Linked DNA regions of Oreochromis niloticus. The protein of the gene in region 1 purifies or fractionates together with the protein of each later gene. This does not show direct contact. Links are inferred from orthologs where the notes say so. Each region holds a gene or a part of one and is shown in the gene's direction. Other genes may lie near its edges. The genes, in order: arid4a and brms1.

Region 1 (10,109 bases):
ATCTAATGGTATTTCCTCTCCTTGCAGCACCTCTCAGACAGAGTGGCCATGTATGTCCATGCCTATACGTTGTACAGCGCTGTGAGGCCGTTTGGCTGCAGGTGAGTTTCAGTAATTATGTTAACATTATGAAAACATGGAGCGGAGCTGCCGTCACGTCTTCTGTTCCTTCAGCATTTTTAAATAAACCCTGAGCTTCTGTCTGACTCCTCCCTTCCTGTTGAGCCGGAGTCATTTTGTCAAAAAGACGGTTCAGTCTCATCATTCACACAGTCACATCAGATAGCATTAAAGTTTAGCTTGGTACCCTTTATGTCGCTACACGCTCCTGAGCTTTGCTGTCATCCTACGGCTCCTGATTAAACCCTCTTACTAGAAAAGACCGCTGTTGCATTTAATGACTCCTTTTCATATTGTATTCTTCTAATGTTCGAGCCGTCAACAGTCAAACTTCATTTACAGCTCAGGTGATGTAAAGTATTGTACAAATATTATAATAATAATTATCATATGTATTATTTTAAAAAATGATCCAAATTAACTACACCCATCACAGCGATGACTGACTCAAGTACGTACCCGAGGGGGGGGGGACTTCTATGATGTCACTTCCTGTTGACTGTCAGATTATTCCCTTTGCTGTATTTACCTTAAACTCAGGGACACGCCCACAAATCCACAACTTTTGTTCTAAATGGAAAAACTGATTTAGGCCTGACGGATTCAAAGTTGTAATTGTTTCAAGTTCAGGTCTGTGTTCTTTTCATTGTCAAAGCTCAAAGTCATGATGTGTTCAGGACCACAGCTCAGTGTTGTGTTCAGAGTAAACGATCAGTGTTGTCATATTAGTGTTGTGCTGTGTACAGCACACAGTCATGCATTAGTTGGTTACCTGTGTGGATGTGCATGTCAATAAAAGATGAGGATTGTGACGTAGATCAGTGACAGAGAGAGCCTCTCCTTATGGAAATGTATGTTTTCCTTATTTCCATTTTCACACTTGACCTGGAATTCTTTCCCATTGTGAAGGATTCTCTCATTCTTAAGTATATCTTTGAGAGTCGAGAGAATTTCTCCAGGCCATCAGGGTGAGGAAACATATAGGGGGAGCAGCGTATATTTCACATACAAGCCTTTATCAAACAGTTGGAGGTCATTTAAACGGACAACTTGCTCCAGAAGTGGATTTTCTTATTTTTTCCTTTGGTGTTTATTCATCTAAGTCAGGGGTCTCAAACTTAAATGATTGGTCCTCTCCTTCTGGACAGACACGTGGCAGCACTTCTGCTCTCATTGTGTTCGTATGTAACAAAATCAAGTGTACACATTAGTGTGTGACTCTGTCACTGAACTAACACAACAAATCCTCAGTAACAGAAAAAGTCACTTCAAGGGACAAACTGCGTTAGATTTCTTCACGTCAATATACAGGCCGCAAGTGGCCCCTGGGCCACGACTTTGAGAGCCCTGGTCTAAGTTGTTCTGGTGTCTTACCTAATTTTGGACGTATGTGCCGTTGAGATGTCTGCCTTCTCTTGAATATATGGATGTTCACATTGTAATGGTTAAAGCAACAAAATATCCATTTTAAAAACTCTAATGCAGTTAGTCTTTCCGGAAATCACAGGGTTACCCAAAATGTATAAAGGATTCTAGTTTTATGTGGGAGATATTTTTCTCTTTGTTTTATACATCAGCCAACCAAAAGAAAAGACTTTCTGACATTTAACAAAAAAAAAAAAAAAAAAATCTCAGGTCACCTCTTGAATTTGAGTTTGAATGGAGTGGACAGGAAGCTGTAGGTTCAGGAACATAATAAATGAAATGTATTATTGTTGTTATCATCATCATTATTATTATTATTCACGGTCCCCCTCCTTCACTCTAGGAGCACAGTAATAAATCGATGCTTTCATGTCTGTGTTCTGGTTGTTTCTCTTTCAGTTTCATCCTTGGCTCATACGACAAAGACGACGGTCCCCAGCTCTACATGGTCGACCCGTCCGGCATCTCATACGTGAGTTTGCTCTCACATCTGTATATGGTGGGAACCCAGGTAGAACCTTGGCTAAAGCAGCAGTAACAACACTGTGTGTGCGTCTGTGTGTGTGTTTGTGTGCAGGGTTACTGGGGATGTGCCATCGGAAAGGCAAAACAAGCTGCCAAGACTGAGATTGAAAAACTGCAGGTGAGTCTGAACCTGCAACATTCACATGAGTCCAGTTTAGTTCTGTTAGCACTCTTATTCTAGATCCAGTTCTTCATCTGTTAAATAACCACAACTTTAGCTTCAGCACAAATCTTTAATAAGATAAGAAAGATCGTCTGTTAATGAAGACGTGTCACCTTAATACATGTGAGCTGGTGGCATCAGTGTCTGTAAAGCAGCTGATCCTGAACTCAACTGTGACTCGGTTTAAAAAAAAAAGTCAAAAGGTTCAATTTAATAATGTTTGAGGTTCATGTAAAAACAATTTCAAGTAGTTTCAAGATGTAATTTTGATATTGACCTTTTTAACCGCAGCCATAAAAGGCTGATGAGGTATGTGTCGAGTGACCTCGACCTCAAGGTCAGGGTGAGAACACCAAAAAAATCTCAGACAGGTTCGAATCCTGGTGACTGTCATTGCAAGGTCAGAGGTCAGCTTTTCTGAAATCACCTGGGAATTTCACATTTCTTCCATAGCTGCATCTACTGGGAGTTGAAGTGTAGCACTGGCACCACCAGTATATTTAAAAAAAAAAAAAAAAAAAAAAAAAAAGTTTTTCTGGCATCATTTTTTTTTTTTTTCCTTTTTTTGGGGGGACACATTTTCCAACATAATTATTAAAGAAATGTCTATTTTCAACCTCTTCTTTGCAATTCTGAGATCTGCATATTTTAATTGCTTATTTTTTCTTTTAAAATGTAAAAAACATTTTCTGCACATACTTCACTGACATTTTAGGAATGTTTAAAGGCATTTTTACATGTTTAGTTAAAAAAAACATTTTCAATTACATTTCTGATATTTCTGGGAAAATTGTATTGTAAAAGAAAAAATCAGATTAATAGTTAATATTAGTCTCCTAATCCAGATCAGTGTGCCTGATACTATCTTTGCTTTTTCCCTCTGTGTGTGTGTGTGTGTGTGTGTGTCTCAGATGAAGGACATGACATGCAGAGAACTGGTTAAAGAGGTCGCCAAAATGTGAGTGAGCAACTTCCAAACTCATTTTTTCTGAACTCCTGAACTGTGTCACCTGTAAGAGAGGTGTGTGTGTGTGTGTGTGTGTGTGTGTGTGTGTGTGTGTGTGTGTGTGTGTGTGTGTGTGTGTGTGTGTGTGTGTGTGTGTGTGTGTGTGAAGAAAATGGGAACTAAAACTCCCATGTCATGTAATGCAGAAAAATTGCAAGTGAACTGTGTAAAGTGCAAGTCTAAAGTACATTGCACACGTGGTGTATCTGTATTTTGCCTAAAGTCTGTTGTATTTTGATGTTTGCAGAATCTACATTGTCCACGATGAGGTTAAGGATAAGGCTTTTGAGCTGGAGCTCAGCTGGGTTGGAGAAGGTAAGCACCATCAGTGCTCTTCTTGTCCACTCATTTGTCTGTCTCTACTTTTAGTGTGAAGCTTCTAGACTTAACAGTGATGTCAGCTGACGCCCTTCATCGCGTAGGGATGATGACAATCCAGAAGGTTTCGCTCACTGGACTGAGTTCCTGTGATGTCACTGCCTCTTGGCTGTCTGACCAATCCATGAGCTGCACGCGGCCACATTAAACTAATGAGACACACAAATAAAGAAGCATAACATGCAGAATAATGTTGACAAACTGGCAAAAAACTCTAAGTAATTCTTCATTAGTACTTTGGTTGCCCTGGTGACATATCTTCTCTTACAGTCACAAATGGACGACACGAGTTGGTACCCAAAGATGTCAGAGAGGAAGCAGAGAAATATGCCAAGGTGGGTGATAATCCTTTGTAGCAGATAGAGACGATACAAGACAAACAGATGTAGCCACTGTGACGCTGCTGTCATGTCGCCTGTTGGCGTCTGGCCACAAACGTCTCGGACGGCTGGATCTCACAGCAGATATTAGTTGTCAGACTGTGGAGGGCTTCATTTTAACCATTGTGAAAATCTAACAGTTGAAGAAGCTGCATTCTTATTAAAGCCTAAATGTGTGAGTTCTACAGTAAATGTATTCCCACACACTTGTTGGGAAGGGAGAAATGATCCTTACAGACCAAAACAGTTTTTTGTATGGAGGTAGAGACACGCCGTGAACTTGTACCTAATAACGTGCGAATGTGTAAGGATCGACTCTTTTGGAACCAGCCTTCATTTTTACGACTTTGATATTCATGTCTGACTTTAGTAGAGAACGTATTTCCATAGTTGTTCTACTTTCCTGTGGTGGGCAGTACATTCAGGTGACTGCTTTTTGTGTTTCAGGATTCTCTGGAAGAAGAGGACGACTCGGATGAAGACAACATGTAAACTCATCCTCTGCTGACGGGCGCATCTGTTTCTTTTGTTGGTTTTATAGTTGATAATCTTTCACATCTGTTGTCTTGTTTTTGGTTTGAATTTCAGCTTTAAAAATAAAAGTTGAATGAAAGTTCACACTACTTTTTTTGGGGAGAGTGTTGATGAACAGTGATTGTAAATCTTTAATACTGCCATATTCCACCTTTCAAATATACTTTTTTGCTACAGAGCAAACAGTTTTCAGTGTTTCAGTCAGCTGATTGGTTAAACACGAAAAACAACAACGGAAAACAAACTTGTTTGCATGCAGAGCTCCAACCACATGAATATTATTAACTAGTGGTTTTATAGTAGGTTTGTACAAGACCTTCATCACAAAGTGAGATCATTTTGAACAAAAATATTTCACTTTCTAAACTAATGAAGAATGAATGCAAAATATGATTAGCAGGTAAAATGAGATGTTTTAATATCTTTGGGGTGTTTTTAACAACAAATCATAACAAACTGTTTAGTATTTATACGTGTTTGCTGTTTAGTGGCCTATGATTTGGTATAGTTGGACCTATGACAGCGTCACTTTCTCTGTGACCACCATGACATGATTGTGCTGTCTTCCTGTGGCGTCGGTACTCCAAACAAACGCCTACCGTTTTGTCTTTGCAGCTCATCTATCCAGTAAAGCTGTCAGTGCCAAAGGCTGTAGAGCGTGGTTCACACAATGACGTCTCAGATGTGGAACCAAATCACATTTAATGAAGTGTGCACTGTATGTTCTCAAGTCATGAGTTACCAGCGAATTAGAAGGGGGCAGGAGACGGTCTCTTTGATTTCCGCGTACATGTGAAAACACTGCATATAACAACAGAAGGACACGTAAGTACGTCATGAAGCGCCTTTTCCCGGTTGTTTCGATTCGCTGTTACCGGCAATACAAAGCGATCAAACACCAGCGCCCGCTGTTTGTGGTTATGTAAAAATCCGTGTAAACTTTATATCTGACAAAATCGTGCGTGTTATTTTTCTGGTCAGCCCAGTCGACAAATAAGTAGTATGAACTGTGAATTGAATATGGTGCTCAGAAATCCAGCACGGCAAGGCTTCCTGTTATATCGCTACAGACGAGGAAGACCGCTCCGCCAATAGAGACGCGCTACAGCGAGGAACAAAGCGTGGACGGCCAATTGTGATCGCCCTGTGTATTTTTTTCTATTGAACTCGCTTCTGATTACACCACTGGCCTGCAGGTGCCGTCATTTCCCTAGTGGCGCCGCGTTTGTACAAGCCCATAGCGATACCGCGTGAAGACTGTCCTATTGAAATTGAGAAATCGATCCACCAATCAAATTTCTGTGTTGCGACCACTGCTGTCACCACAGCCAATCGTGTTCTCAGGAAACGGAGCTTGAGGCTCAACAGCTTGTTGTTCGTATATTGCTTTGCAGCCCGAGCGAGAGGGGAAGCTGCTGTGTCCGTGAATGTAAGTATAAAACCTTCATATTTTGACTAGAACAAAGCTAAAACTTTGAACAGTTTAAACTGTCGGTAGGCCGAGGGCAGCTAGACGTCAGCGGAGAGACCGGGAGATGTCCGTTTGCTCGCTATTCGTCGGGGCTGTCTGAATTGAATGGCAGTCGGGTTGTTTTTGCACTGAAGAAATGTGAAGCTCCGGCGCCTTTGTGGAGGAACCGTTTATTAAATAAATAAATCTACAGCAGTTCTCGTTACGTCTAGTGTCACTGATTCACACTGTTTAGTAAAAACTTAGTTTGATCTCGTAACCAAGTGGGACCTAGAGTGGACTCTAGCTATGCTGCTCATTTGCTAGCGGACCGTTTAAATCTCCGTAACTAGCTAGTTGAGTCGCTAGTTAGCCAACTAGCTAGACGTAGCTACGAAGCGAAGAGCAGCTTGTCCCGTTCGCCTGTTGTTTGGACTTCGTTCGTCTTGGCATTCGGTTGTGTGGTAGCAGCTGGTCGCTATTAAGCGGATTTGGTGTGGATGTGATAAAGTTAGCCCAGCTAGCTGACATGACAAGCTGTGATGGCGACGTGACTCACAGGGGCTGGGAGCGGAGCGGGAAGAGGCGCCCCTCTCCGGCCCCGCTCACGCACCGTGCCCATCACCGAGCTACCAGCGACGCTTCTTCAAACCGGGGACCCGGTGTTCACTGGAAGTAAAGGTTACTAGCTAAATTTTTGCGAGCTGTTTGGGCCACATATTTGAACTGATACGAGTAGGCAGATTTGAGGGGAGGGAGGGAGGGAGTGGGTTGACCGAGCTAGAAAAGAATGCCTGAGCTAACACAAGTGAGTGGCTAGTCGGTTAGCTTAGCGTGATTTTCAAACTGGACTGGTCTGTTTGACTCTTTATGCCCTGTTTGTCCTCAGTGCCACCGCAAGCTTTAACCTCATCTGTCGGCTCATTGTTTGTCTTTCAGTGATCCCAAATCTTTCGAGCTGGACTCCCTCAAATAGCCGAGAAGAAATGAAGGTGAGTGTTTGACCTGCGACACAAACTGAAGATGGTGTTCTCGGTCTAAGCACCATGTCTGAACCCTGCTCAGAGACCCAGATGGAACCAGACACAGATGACTTAAACTGTGCTTTTCCAGTTCCGACTCCTGTGTCGGTTTATCGTTTTTACATGGCAGATCTGTGCTGTGGTGTTATAGTGATGAGCCAAATGTTTATAGTCCTAAGCAGGATTCCGACAATTGCTGTACAATGTAAACGCATTTCCACTGCTTTAATTACAACACTGTCTCTGATTTGCAAATTATTTAAAGACCCTTTTTTAATATTCCAAAGACCACTCATCCCTTTGAGTTTTTTGGTGGGGGATTTGTTTTGTTGTTTTTTTTAACCTAAAAATATGATTGATTTAAATCAGATGCAACAACATTATTATTCCTGTAAAACTACATGATAAGGATCAGGAGCTATGACAAGTAGCACTATATAACTAGGTGTTTGGTGACCGGCTGCATATTTAGACAGACAGACTGAAACACCTAGTCAGTACATGTCTTATTCTGGTTTTTAGATTGATTAGTTTGATTTGCTGTTATTGCCATTAATAAAAAGCTAATTACATTCACTCGCATTATGTATCTGGTAGGAAAGTTATCTGAGGTTTGGGTTTCTTGGAAGAAACATTTCTGAACATTTCTGAATCTAACTCTTGATGTAATCATCAAGAGTTAGATGAAAAGTGTCAACACAAATGAGACAAAATAACATGTAGGCAGCAGCTGATGTTTAGAAAAAGGTAAGCTGGTAAGGGTTGAGATGACAAACCACTTCACACAAATGGTCAGGAACTGGTTGCCATTTTCATTGTGTAAACAGGTACGTCAGTAATCAGTTTTTAAAGGATCCATTTTCCTAAAACTGGAATTAGACCCAGGACTCATGGATGTGCTCTCCAGGCTTTTGACAAATGACAGACTGACAAAGTGAAACCATCACACAAACTTCACAAATGCAACTCAAAGTCTTGAGAGCTGCTGCTTATGTGTATGTTTGTATTGGCATTTCAGGCAGCAGATGAGCCTGCCTACCTGACAGTGGGGACAGATGTCAGTGCCAAGTACCGAGGAGCCTTCTGTGAGGCCAAGATCAAGACTGTTAAGCGCATGGTGAAAGTCAAGGTAAGATTAGCAGAAATTTCATCCTCATGAGCATCAGGAATTATAAAGGACCACAGTCTGGTCTGTCAGTGTTTCCCACTTAATATCATTGGGTCACTGTGCTTTCTGACCCTGAGTACATGTCAGACACAAACGGGGTGGACTGATTTTTCAAAGGAATAGTTTTTAATTAATTAAGCTTTCAATTCTGCTTAACAGTGGCCTACTTACCACAGTTCCTTCAAAACCTGGATATGAATCTAGTCCTGTGTTGTGAATATGTTCCACTACTTACTTCATGGTAAACAATGTGTCCCATAGCTCTGTGAAGAAATCAGATCGCAGCCTTTCAGTGTTAGGGATGCACCAATTTGGCCAATGACTATAACAACTTTAAACGTTTTGTTTCTGTTGTAAGGGCTTTTCCCTGTCATTGTGTCGTTTAAGTAATTAATCAGAGCTTAAGAAGTGTACGACAGCTTCCAGTATTAAACATCATCTGGTTGATAGCAGTCACCAGGCTGATGTCACCTGACAAAGATGTACTGCCGGTATCATCTGTTGCCACCAGCTGTGTGAGTCTCAGTATACCTGGGCACCTGCTGTTGTAAAGTTTGTTTAGATGTAACACATTAAAGCCACAGACTGAATGTAGAAAGTGGATATAACCACCAGTTTATAAAAGTGGAGCAAATGCAGAATTTCTTTATATCCGCTTTAGTTGCGGTGACATCACAGTGGCTGTGCCCACGTCTTTTATACAGCACAGTTACTGCTGACTAAAGTAACTTTGCTCTTCCCCTATAGCAAATACTGCAACAGTGTGCTGGTACGTCTCTCACACACTGTGCCACAACAAACCCACAAGTCTTGTAGGTAGGGATGGGGATTGATAAGAAGAAATTCAGATTCTGTTATTGCTTTGATTCCTTACAGACATTCTGTACTCGAGTAGAAGTACAGATACTAGTGTTAAAAAATATTCCGGTGGAAGTGGAAGTAAAAGATTAAAAGTACAGGCTCTGAAATGTAAGAAAGTAAAGAGTGGGTCTTTGGATGACGTTTCTACTAGCTAGTTTTGTGCAAAGCTAACTGAGCTATGTGCCTTAATGCAATGATAAAATAATATTAGAAGATGAATACAAACGGTTAGTCTCATTTTTAATACTCTGCTTCAATCAGAAGAAGAAGAACAAAAATAGATTTTTTTTAAATTTTCTTGTCCCACATTGCAGAGGGTGACTTTGCTCCTGCATAAGAAAATGAGCACAGTCAATTGTTAAAGTGGGATTCAGCAGGTGGGGGAACCCTATAATGGGCTGTAGTGGCTCAGTGTGGGAATCAGTCATTTCTATTGAGATCTCCAGTAGATTTTCTAAGCGTGCAGACTGTGATCGGCTGATCTGATCTGGGCTACTGCTGCTCTGAGGTTTACTGCTCTTTGTGGATGTACACACCTGTATCTCTGAAGTACAGCAGTTGGACCTTTCGCTAGCAACACACCGTGAGACAAACTGCAGACACAAACAGTTTGTGTGTTTGCTGATTAAAAACATTGCATTTGACATTACCCCCCACCTAAACAAAAAATTACTCCCTTTATGCCCACCCCTCTGTTGTAGCGATAGCAAGATGCTGAAGTGCTCACTGACAGCTGCAGTCGCTCCGGTTCTGCCAACCAAAAAGAAAAACATCGGCCGACTTGATTACTGACTGTTACACGTCATCTCGATTCATGTGACATCCCCTGGAGCAAGCAAGCAATTTATTTATATAGCACTTTCAGATCAGCCCCCAGCTGAACACAAAGTGCTGTACACTTGACATGCCAAAATGATACATTGAACATGTTAAAAAATAAGAAAAATAATAATATAAAATAAATAAAATATATATATAAAAATGATTATTAAAATGACATTAAAATAAATAAAATTAGCACAAATAGCAAAAACAATAATAAAATAGTATAAAAAATGATGATGAGAATTACATTTA
Region 2 (10,236 bases), on another chromosome or scaffold:
TGGCCTGTGTGTCAGTGTGTGCGGTTGTGTTGCTCTGCTGACAGTAAGTCTAGCTGTCACCTACAGTCTCTATCTCACACACACAGACTGCCCCAAATTAAATCCTTATACTCCCCCTTTATACACACACACACACACACACACACACACACACACACACACACACACACACACACACACACACTTCAGCTCAGACTTATTAATGCCCTTCCTATAATTCTTTAATCCGTATGTGCAAGGTGTGTGTGAGACGTTGAGCCATTTTCACTGCCAAAAGAAAACCTACCGCTTTGTTAATGTGCCCACACAGCATGTTTTGCCTGTCCATGTGTGGTTGTGAGTCCGACTGACTTGTGTGTGTTTTGTGTGATGGGATAAGGGGCAGTCAGGCAGGTGCAGAGACAGCTGGTGTGGGCAACTCTAACCGAGGGGGAGGACGAGAGCGAGGGAGAGATTCCTAGAGAACGACATGAATATAGGGGCAGCAATTGAGCTGCAAAAGAGCTCGGGGGGGGGGGCACAGAGTGTTTGTACGAGTGTGCGTGCGTGTGTTCTTGTCGCCAGCGGTGAAGAGCTTGGCTGGAGCACACTGAGCCAGTGTGTGCGAGCGAGGCAGATGGAGAGACGGGGACTAATAAAGCTTTTTAATAGAGCGACAGATTAATCGGAAGAAAGAATTGATTGGATAAGGAGAAACTGAGACGAAGATGAACTCGCCGTGAACTGCTTTCTTTATCCTGAAGACTAATTCGACGTTAGATGTGAGCCTGATGAAACTGGGCGATGACTGATTGGCTTATATTAGGTGTATAAATGTGTATTTTAATTTATGTAGTTACTTTGCTTTAAATATGATTTGAAGTCCACGTTTTCTAAACGCGAATGCAGCGGTAAAAATTCCCAATTCAAAGGAGCAGATTTCCCAGTTTCAACTGGTTTTTACATGAATACAACATGGGTGGCCATCAGCAGTTAGCACCCTAGCTTTCAGTAATGAGCTGTCTGTAAAGAAAATAGTAATTATTCTAAAATAAATGTTTCCAGTTTTGCACAACAGATTTGAAGGAGGACACTTTAAAGACCTGTTAGAAACAGGAACTTGCCTGGATCCTAACTCTGTGTTGCTCCATTTGGTGTCTTTGTTTCTTCTCAGGTGTTAGCTTTAGGACATGCACGTGTTCTTACTTGATCTCAAACATCACACTGACTTTCTTGCATTGTAAGCTATAGATGGATGGATAGCTTTGTTTTGCCCACGTAAAGCTGAGAATTGATGGGAAATGAGCTAGCTCGGCCCTCTCCACAGACGATAAAACACTGCAGCGCCTTGCCTTTGTGAATCTTGACACAGTGGACACATGAGATGCCACCTCCTTCTCACTGTGTTTTTGCTAAACTGAGCTAAATAGCTGGTAGACGAGCACCCCTGTCTCCTCGTGTAACTCGTGGGATGAAAGCGAACTACAAATTTCAGTCCATTCCTTTAATCATTTTGTGTGGCAAAAAGTAAAATTCCTTCGCACTGGTATTTCTGGTCCCCAAACAGTATCATTGCTCTCTGTGTAACAGCAAATAAGCACAGCTTTTAACCAGATTATTCTTTTATTTTTTATTTTTCCAACCTTGAAAATAAACTCTTTTTTTTCATTGAAGAAGATTAAAAAAATGAAACCTGTCTGTGCTGGTTTTCTTCTCTCTTTGTCTCCTCATGTCTCTCTGCCATGTGCTTTGCGCTAATGGAAGCACGCCGCCCTCTAGTGTCCACAGCCGGACATTCATCAATAACTGTACCACGTCATACAGAGAGAGAAATGCTTACGCTTGCTGGTCTATTTGCAGACAACCACATAATATAAACACAGGCACTAAGAATAGACAGGATGAGGATTTCTTTCCATGTGTTCGTGGAAAGAGGTTCTCTAGTATTTTTCTAAGGAAGTTGGTGGATGTTTGGTCTCTGATGGTGCTCTTCTTCTCTCCTCCTTTTGTTACATGTGCTATAGGAAGAGGCCATCCCCGAGCTGGAGATAGATGTGGACGAACTGCTCGACATGCCCAGTGATGTTGAACGGGCAGCCAGGGTCAAGGTAGGACACACGTGCGCACCTGTTTCAGAGCAGGAAAGATGGCTGCAAACAGCAGAGTGTTATTTCATCCTGTTTTTCCCTGTTTTGCAGGACTTGCTGGTTGACTGTTTTAAACCTACTGAGGTAAAACACAGTTCTTCTTCACTCCCCTGCTCATAAACTCCCTCTGCCTCTTCAAGTGAACATTTCTGATGTGCATATTTGTCATATTGAGTCCCCGCATGTGTTTTTGTCCTTGCCCTCTCCCCGTAGGACTTCATCTCAGAGCTGCTCGACAAGATCCGAGGGATGCAGAAGCTCTCCACGCCTCAGAAGAAATGATGGCATCCTTCCCCTTCCTCCCTCCATCCTACATATTCCCTTCCACCTCAGCCCTCACCTCTCGTCTTCCTACCACAGCTCACGCTATTTTTTTTTTTAAACTTTTGTCTGTTTTCTTCCATTAAAGTTCATGAAATGACAACTTGTTTCTGCTTCTAGTTAGACCCTCTCTTGTTGTTGCCTGGATCCAGCCCCATATGTCGCTTTTCTCTTTTGTTGTCATGTCGTTGGACTTCCTTCATAAAAACCATCAGCCAAGAAGGGGGAAAAAAGACAAATTAAAGAGTGAATTAATTCAAAAGCGACTCATTGGTCTTAATCCAGGCATTCTCCTTCCTCCTCTTTTCCTACTCCTACCCCTCTCTCCACCTTTTTTTTTTCTTTTTTGGCTCTGCTACCCTTTCCCATCCAGCTCTACTTCCTCCCCACCCACCCCTACACCATCTTCCATCTGTCTGAGGAGGAAGAGGAGACGAGTCCCCTAATTACTGCGAGCAGAGCGACCGAGATCGAGAAGAACGAGAGAGCGCAGATGCCAAAAAAGACAGTGGAAGGGTGAACGAGGAGGAGGAGGAGGAGGGTTAGAGGAAGGAAGAAGCCAATCAACTCGCTTCTGTCTCCACCGATCTTTACGTTGCTGTTTTTGAGGGTTTTAAAGTTGACCCAGCCGCCCATTATAATTCTTTCCATACTTCCCGGTTCAATTTGAGGGCTTCACTTTAGTTTTTTTTAATTAACTCTTTCGGGGATCAGTACAGTCTTTTGCTAATTATCCCCCTCAATCAGAGGCATTGCTGCAGTGGTGCATTTAGAGACTTTTTTTTTGTGCGTGTGTGCGCATGTGTGTTTGAGAAGTCTGCACTATGTCATTTTGAGGGGAAGAAAAATCGGAACCACAAAGAATAATGTATGGTGTATCTTTAGCACGGCAAAGAGGGAAAATTTGAAGCCTGGAAAGGGTCACCGGCTTGTTTTTGGTGGTCACCGGCTTAAAAAAACTGATCTCCTCCGGAAGCAAGTTCTCTTTAGGCTGGATGTCAAAGTAGAAGGTTTCTTTTTCCTCAAATGCGTAGAACAGTCACGAGAGGCTCCTCAGAAGCCGCTGCACATACAAACGTATGTCTGTGTCGCTAAATGCTACGTGTGTGTTGCTACATAATGTACAGCAACATTTGTCATAGGAGTGTTTTTGGGCCTGTATATTCTGCTGTTCTGTATGACAGATTAGATTTTTAGTATAGGACTGGTTCCTGTTTCGTTTGGGAGGGGCGGGGGTTCTGTTTTTGTTTCCTGGATGCATTTTTTTGTCACACGGACACACACTGACAGTCCAACAAGGGGACCCAAAACAAAGCTGCCTTTTTTTAAAATCACTGCCCCTAACCCTTCCATCTCATTCTCACAATTTCTCCTTTTCTAAAACATTATTAGACTAAACCATTATACTTTTTTGAGGGGGGGCATTCAGAGCAGTCACATCTCTGACATTTGTCCTCTGCCTGACATGTCAGTGGAATCACCGCTAACATGCCTAAACAGGAGAGAGGCCATTGTTCAAATCAAAGCTTGTATTTTTCTTTCTCTGACACGCACACAGCTTCTCGGGGCGGAAGAAGCGGAAACACATCGGCAAACACAGCTGCCTCTAGCACAGATGTGCACACACACAAACACTGGCACAGTCAGAGAGAGAGGGAGACGAGGCCATAGTCCACCGCTGCCCCCCTCTAACCTCCCGGTGCAGCTACCAATCCTCTCGGAGAATAAGCCATCTGTTTCTGATCCTGGGCCAATCAGATCAGAGACCGAAGCCCATTGGTTAACAAGAGAAGCAGCGAGATTTCGCTGTGGTTCCTGTGACCGATTGCTAACACCTGCAGTGACAGCAGACCTTCGCTGTCTGCCTCTTTCTCTGCTAGAGCCAAAAGGCACATGTGTACACACACACACTTTCATCTTGCTGCTCTGTCATTGCTCCCTGACATCCCCCACTTTTCTCTTTTGCCTTCCTTCATCCCACAGTCACCCTTCTCTCCTCCCTCCCTTTTTCATTTTTTTTTTCATTTTTTGTTTTTTTATAAAGAGATGTTGCCTTAGGTATTATTTATGTTACACAAACCAAATAAACAGGAGACATTTTTCTTTTAAAGGGTAATGCAAACTGCTGCCACGTGTGAGCAGACCTGCAGTGTGTGGGGAAAAAATCTTGAATCTTCTGTTGGTCCTTATATACTCTTTCTTCTTTTTCTGGAAAACAAACTGAGATTCTGTTTTTTGATTTGTTTTTTTTTAAGAAGTGAGTGTTTAATACTTAGGCCTTGATACAGTGATTTTTGTTTAGGTAAAAGATGTTCTTTGCATTTACCATTTGAATACTGCTCTGTTTCTATCGTGATCATGACACTTCTTGACACCCGGCCTTGGATTAACACGTAGTTGAACAAAAAGAAAAAATCCACTCAGATGCATTTTGGTGCGATTGCTTTTGCCTTCCCTGCTGGGACATTTTTGATCGGTCAGATTTTACCAGGCAAGTCCAATCAGTAGCTGAAGTTTGAGTGGATTTTCATTGCTAAATCCAGGTTTGGATTATTATACCTTCGTAGACTGTTATTGACAAGTCTGTTTTGTTTTTTTACTGTTGGGGAAAATTGCAAAAAACAATATATATACTGATTATTTTCATTGAGGCTAAATACAAGAGCTAAACCATGCCATTTGGAGGAGTGGTGTTCTTTAGATTTTTTTTTTTTTTTTTTTTTTTAAGACAATGATTAGACCAACAAACCAACCAACAAATGTAGCAATATCAACAACAGGTCTTGTTTTTGCCCAATTTTGTTACACTTTTATGCAACTTTAATAAAAACATGTAAAATGGACATTTTTCTCTGTGTGGTGTTTTATTATAGTACTTGGTACTGTTTGTTAATCCTTCTTCTAGAGCCCATAATAGGTGAAAAATATCAAAATTCTCAAATTTCTCAGTCATGATTAAATTCTGCCTCACTTTAATGCCATCTTGTGGTTACTTGGTATAACCGCTACATCGTCCACCTGCTGAGAAGGTGAGGATATCTGGGGATACCTGCAGGAATACCATCGTACTTGGAGGATGGTTAATATAAGTTAAGTGAACGAGTGCATCATGCCATTGATAACTTTTCACCAAAGGTTCAGGGAACAACAAGAGCAATGAACAGAACAGGATAAATGCCAGTATTAGATTTGATGTTTTAAACATTGCAAGGACGTTAGCACGGACGTTTAGTTCACGGTTCCAACATTACCCCACCACCAAAAAAATAGAGAACTTTGGGGGAGAAATTGGGATCGTTCTCCTATGTATGGGGTTTAATTACACCATCACACCCCTGAATTACAGTGTCTTACAAATGCAAACTCAGCCTATTTGACCACATTACCATAATTAAGTATAGGGGTGTGAGAGCAGCTGCACAGTGCTAGCAGTGGAAGAGCAATTGAAAAAGAATAACCATTGATCGTACAGTACTGCGCCCTATACACACTATGCTAAGCTACATTTCTATAAGTATTTTATAATGAAATATTTGCCTTAGATCTCGGGATTTAAATTGTATTATCAGGTTTGCGCCTCGTGAATGAAAATAAGTTCAATTATAAACCGTATTTTTAGAATCATATATGTAAAATTTGGATTATTTTTTATTTTGTTTTATATTTTAAAATAATTAGAAACCAATTTTTCTCCAGTTATAGTGTTAGGTTATTATATTATATTATATTATATTATATTATATTATATTATATTATATTACAGCAAGGTCTTAGGTCAAACAGCTCCAAATCCTTGTTGCAAACAACGGGTATACTGAATTCTATAGTATTCATGAAGAAATATGTTTGTCTTCTTTAAGTGTCCTCTTTAAATAATTACATCTATCTTTATGAAGTTGTACCAAAACACCTTATATCACCGAGACAATGTGTTTCTCACTATTACATGCACTCGCAATGGGTTATAAGCCATCTTTCTCGCCTAAAGACAAACATTTCTTCATTTTGTGAATAATAAGGAAGGCGACCTGGATTATAATTGGCTTACTGGATCTGGTTGAGTATTTCTGATTGGACAAGAGACTTTCGGGTTGATCGCTGCTATTGGACAGTTCAGTGCTCGGTCTCCGCGCTCATTGGCTGAACTTCCGGGCTTCAGAGTCCGGCAAAGTGTGGAACTAAAGAAGACTGGGACGAAGAGGAAGTACTTTTTAAAATGGAAATACAGTAAATCATACTTGAACTTTTCACAGCAGAACAACAGGACGCGGTGAGCGAGCTTTTCTCTTGACTGTCACATTTATGGAAAGAAGGGTTATTTGTTTACAAACAGCATCGCCTGCATCTGTTGACGGATAACGTTATTTGTTAATCCGTACGCTGTAGGAAGGTAGGGTCAGTATGGAAGCCCCTCTGGCGATGCTTCACTGAGTTTGATGGGTGTTTTTCTTCTACGAACCAGCACACACTCTAAGAGAAAACACTTGGCCATTAAATAAGATGAGTATTCGGACAAGGTGATGAACAGGCAGTCATTCCTTCGCTGCAGGGTTTCAATTGTTAGCTAGTGTTGCACTTGACTTGTCCGTGGTCTAGTTCCCGCTAATTTTAAAAGAAAATGCAACAAACGCGTCTCTGTTATTTTGAGGGGAACTGCAATTAATTTCGCGTTCAATACAATAGGTTTCAGGCTAATTTGGGCATTTTATTTTACTCTATGCACCGCCGTAGCTGTTATAACGTACACGGTTTTACTTTGACATCCCGGAAGCTAAAAGATAAAGTTAGACCGATTGAGATGGGACTTCCGGTAAGGTAACAAATAAGACCCCCGTTAATTGGTGAAGCCAAATTGTGGAGCAACTTTAAAGTGATATTTCAGTTATAAACTTTTTTCTAAAGGTGTGTTTTATGAGGGATAAGCAAGACTGCGTTATTTTAGCTTGTTGCCTGCCTGTATGTCTGCGAAGCCAGTCATGTCATTTCCGGTGTTGTGTTGTGTTTTTTGCAGTTCACTTGGCCGAGGTTATGGAGGCCATACAGTAGCTCGGGGTCCCACGTCCTCAGTCTGCTGTTAAACCTTATTCCACTCCGTCTGCCGAGTAAGCAAAATTTCACTGTTATTAACCCACGGGCAGGTCTTAATTTTACCAGGACAATTTTTATGTGTTTTATGCTTTGCGTTTATTTTTTACAGACTGTAAAATATGAAATATGACCCCTGACAATTTATGTTGTTTTCAAATGTATTCGTTGTTGTAAACATCCCAGTCAGTGTTTTATAATTTTGAGTTTAATGTTGTTGGGACATTAATAGTGTGCTTATGCAGCTTCTTACATATAATTTATAAAATAATTGAATTTTCCAAAAATATGTTTTTAAACTATGATTCTTTATAAAGTCTATATTTAGGATGTACCCTTTGGAGTTGTGTGTAGCGCTGATCACTTATTTATGAAGTAAGTCAAGAATAATTAAAACACTGATGTCAATGAAAGTTTAACAGACACTTTGGTAATATATCATTATTATTATTTATTTATATAACTTTTTTTTAGAAAAATTATATATGCACACACATAAGTAAGACTTAGCTTACATGAACCATAATTTTCTGGGTTAAATTGCATTTTTTTTTTTTAAGTTTTCATTTTTGGTGTATGTAGTACTGTGCAAATGTCTTGAGCCACCTCTCATGTCTTTACATTTTTCTTCCAAGGAGACAGACTTCCTTGTAATTCTTTTATTTAAAGTGTTCTTGAGCAATAGTTCTCCAGGCTTTCTGGAGGTGTTTCAACGTTTTGGTTTTTTTTTTTCTCTTGTTTTCAGTCCAGTACTTGTAAACAAACTGGTATTTATAGTGGCTTTCAGCTCAGTTAATTTACTACTGCAAGTCCCATTCATCCAATCACACACACACATCCATACAGTACTTTCATCTAGCTACTTTCCAATTGGTAGACAACCCGCTCTGCCACCTGAGCCACAGCTGCCCCCATCTACCTGAATGTTTGTTTGTTATGCCGCTTAACACTGACCTATGAATTATTCAAGCAAATTCACCTAACTCAATTGATGAACCAGTGGTGTGTCTACACATAACAGGAAGCAGGCAAATTTGAATTTTGTTTTGGTTCAAACTGAGAGGATGTCAGGAGAGAGGTACAACACTGAGTATGCAGCTGTCTATAAAACACAGTGGAAATGTGAACACAAAAATTAGCTTTAGATTTTCATAGCAGCAACATGACAATGATTTCAAGCATGCTGCCAGTTAGAACCATATCACATCATCTCTGATATTCCATTATCCCAATTTTAAAAAATGTAGCTAAAAGACGTCCAACAAAGCACAATGCGCTGCACAATATGCAAGAAAACTGTTCCAGCTAAATGTAGAAATAACAGACTTGTTTCATCACTTGAGGCAAAAACACATCATCGAGTACACCCAGGCTACGAAGGAGGAGATACTAGCAGCTGGTGGTGTGTGACCCAAATGTAAGCAGATGACTCCACCGAGCGCAGCTGGAGCACTCACTGGTCGCACTCCACATGACAGGAAGAGCAAACTGTGGATGGAAATTACAGATGCAGTTACATGTGGCAGAGAAGGGTTTTAAGCAACAGGTTAAAAACTTTGGCCCAACGTACAACATCGCAGGCTGAAAGTATTCTTTCATTTTATTATGTGACAATACTGTGCTATATTTTTGAGGCCATATTGCCCACATCTTCTGCTAATGCAGTACAAACATATCTGGATAGAATTGGCTGTGTTGAAGAGTTTACCGTCTTTAGTTTTATGTGATATTTTTATTAATGCCACATATAGCTTCTGGCTTCCATGCCTGCCCAACCCCCTGTGAAGGAGCCGGAGGAGGAGATGGAGGCAGAGGGTGAGTCGCAGCTCCCCGAGGCCAACGGAGAGGTGGAAGAACCCAGAGAGAATGAAGGAACAAGAGGGGGAGGAGCCGAGGAGACCATGGAGGAAAGTATGGAGGAGAGGGAGACCGACTTGGAAGATAGTGACGAGGAGGAAGAGGAGGAAGAGGAAGAAGAGAGCTCAGGTAAAAAAAAAAAAAAATCAAAATGCTCTATTAACGTTTCGACTGCTTATATAACAAGAGAGACGCAATATAATCGACGCCACCTTAAACTGTTTTCTTTTTTCTCTTTGTCCTATGAAGAGATGGATGATGAAGATTGTGAGAGGAGAAGAGGAGAATGTCTGGATGAGATGATGGATCTGGAGAAACAATTCCAGGAGCTGAAAGAGAAGTAATTTGAAGCGGGGGGAAAAAGGGATTCAACACTTTGTCCTTCTTCTTTTTTTCGATGTCTGAGCCACCTGTTGCTGAGGCTGATTTCACCGTGTGATTGCAGGTTGTTTCGGGAACGGCTAAACCAGGTGAAAGTCAAGCTGGACGAGGTGCTGACAGGAAAGGCCGGTGAATACAGAGACCCGCTGGCTGCACTACAGAACAGCATGCAGATACGGACACAAGTGGCTGGTACAGAAAAATAAATAAATAAAATCCTAATCAAGTCCAATACCCTAGCTACGGTGGCCACTGTAGTGCAAACAACCTTGGCTGCCATTTGTCTGTAGTGAGTGTAGGTTGTCAGCGTGCTGTTTACCTCGGCTGTAAATATGTGTGCTCGTGCATTTACTCTGGAGGAGGCTGTAAAAAGTGTGAAAGGTACGAGTCGGTGAGTCGGTGAAGCTCACTTCTGTCCAATGACGGTGATACTGAGGTGAGTTGTTGAGGATATCCTCAACTATCC

Evidence for each region.
Region 2: the proteins of arid4a (region 1) and brms1 purify together in Homo sapiens (affinity purification with western blotting; 3 studies listed by BioGRID and IntAct, with this or other methods). This does not show direct contact. The link is inferred for Oreochromis niloticus from reciprocal best matches to the Homo sapiens genes ARID4A and BRMS1.

The regions. Positions count from the first base shown.
Region 1 is NC_031983.2:2,562,558-2,572,666, forward strand, and holds the start of arid4a (AT-rich interactive domain-containing protein 4A), read left to right. Parts: upstream 1-5,730; 5' UTR 5,731-5,960; intron 5,961-6,346; exon of another isoform or gene 6,347-6,662; intron 6,663-6,920; 5' UTR 6,921-6,967; coding exon 6,968-6,973; intron 6,974-8,021; coding exon 8,022-8,132; intron 8,133-10,109. Other genes in the region: psma3 (proteasome subunit alpha type-3), read left to right, coding at 28-101, 1,945-2,017, 2,123-2,188, 3,145-3,191, 3,487-3,554, 3,888-3,952, 4,445-4,489.
Region 2 is NC_031967.2:10,441,425-10,451,660, forward strand, and holds the start of brms1 (breast cancer metastasis-suppressor 1), read left to right. Parts: upstream 1-6,567; 5' UTR 6,568-6,717; intron 6,718-6,977; exon of another isoform or gene 6,978-7,349; intron 7,350-7,458; 5' UTR 7,459-7,549; intron 7,550-9,283; 5' UTR 9,284-9,295; coding exon 9,296-9,518; intron 9,519-9,638; coding exon 9,639-9,729; intron 9,730-9,834; coding exon 9,835-9,962; intron 9,963-10,236. Other genes in the region: ppp1r14bb (protein phosphatase 1, regulatory (inhibitor) subunit 14Bb), read left to right, coding at 2,004-2,087, 2,178-2,210, 2,340-2,408. UniProt on the Homo sapiens protein: Transcriptional repressor. Down-regulates transcription activation by NF-kappa-B by promoting the deacetylation of RELA at 'Lys-310'. Promotes HDAC1 binding to promoter regions.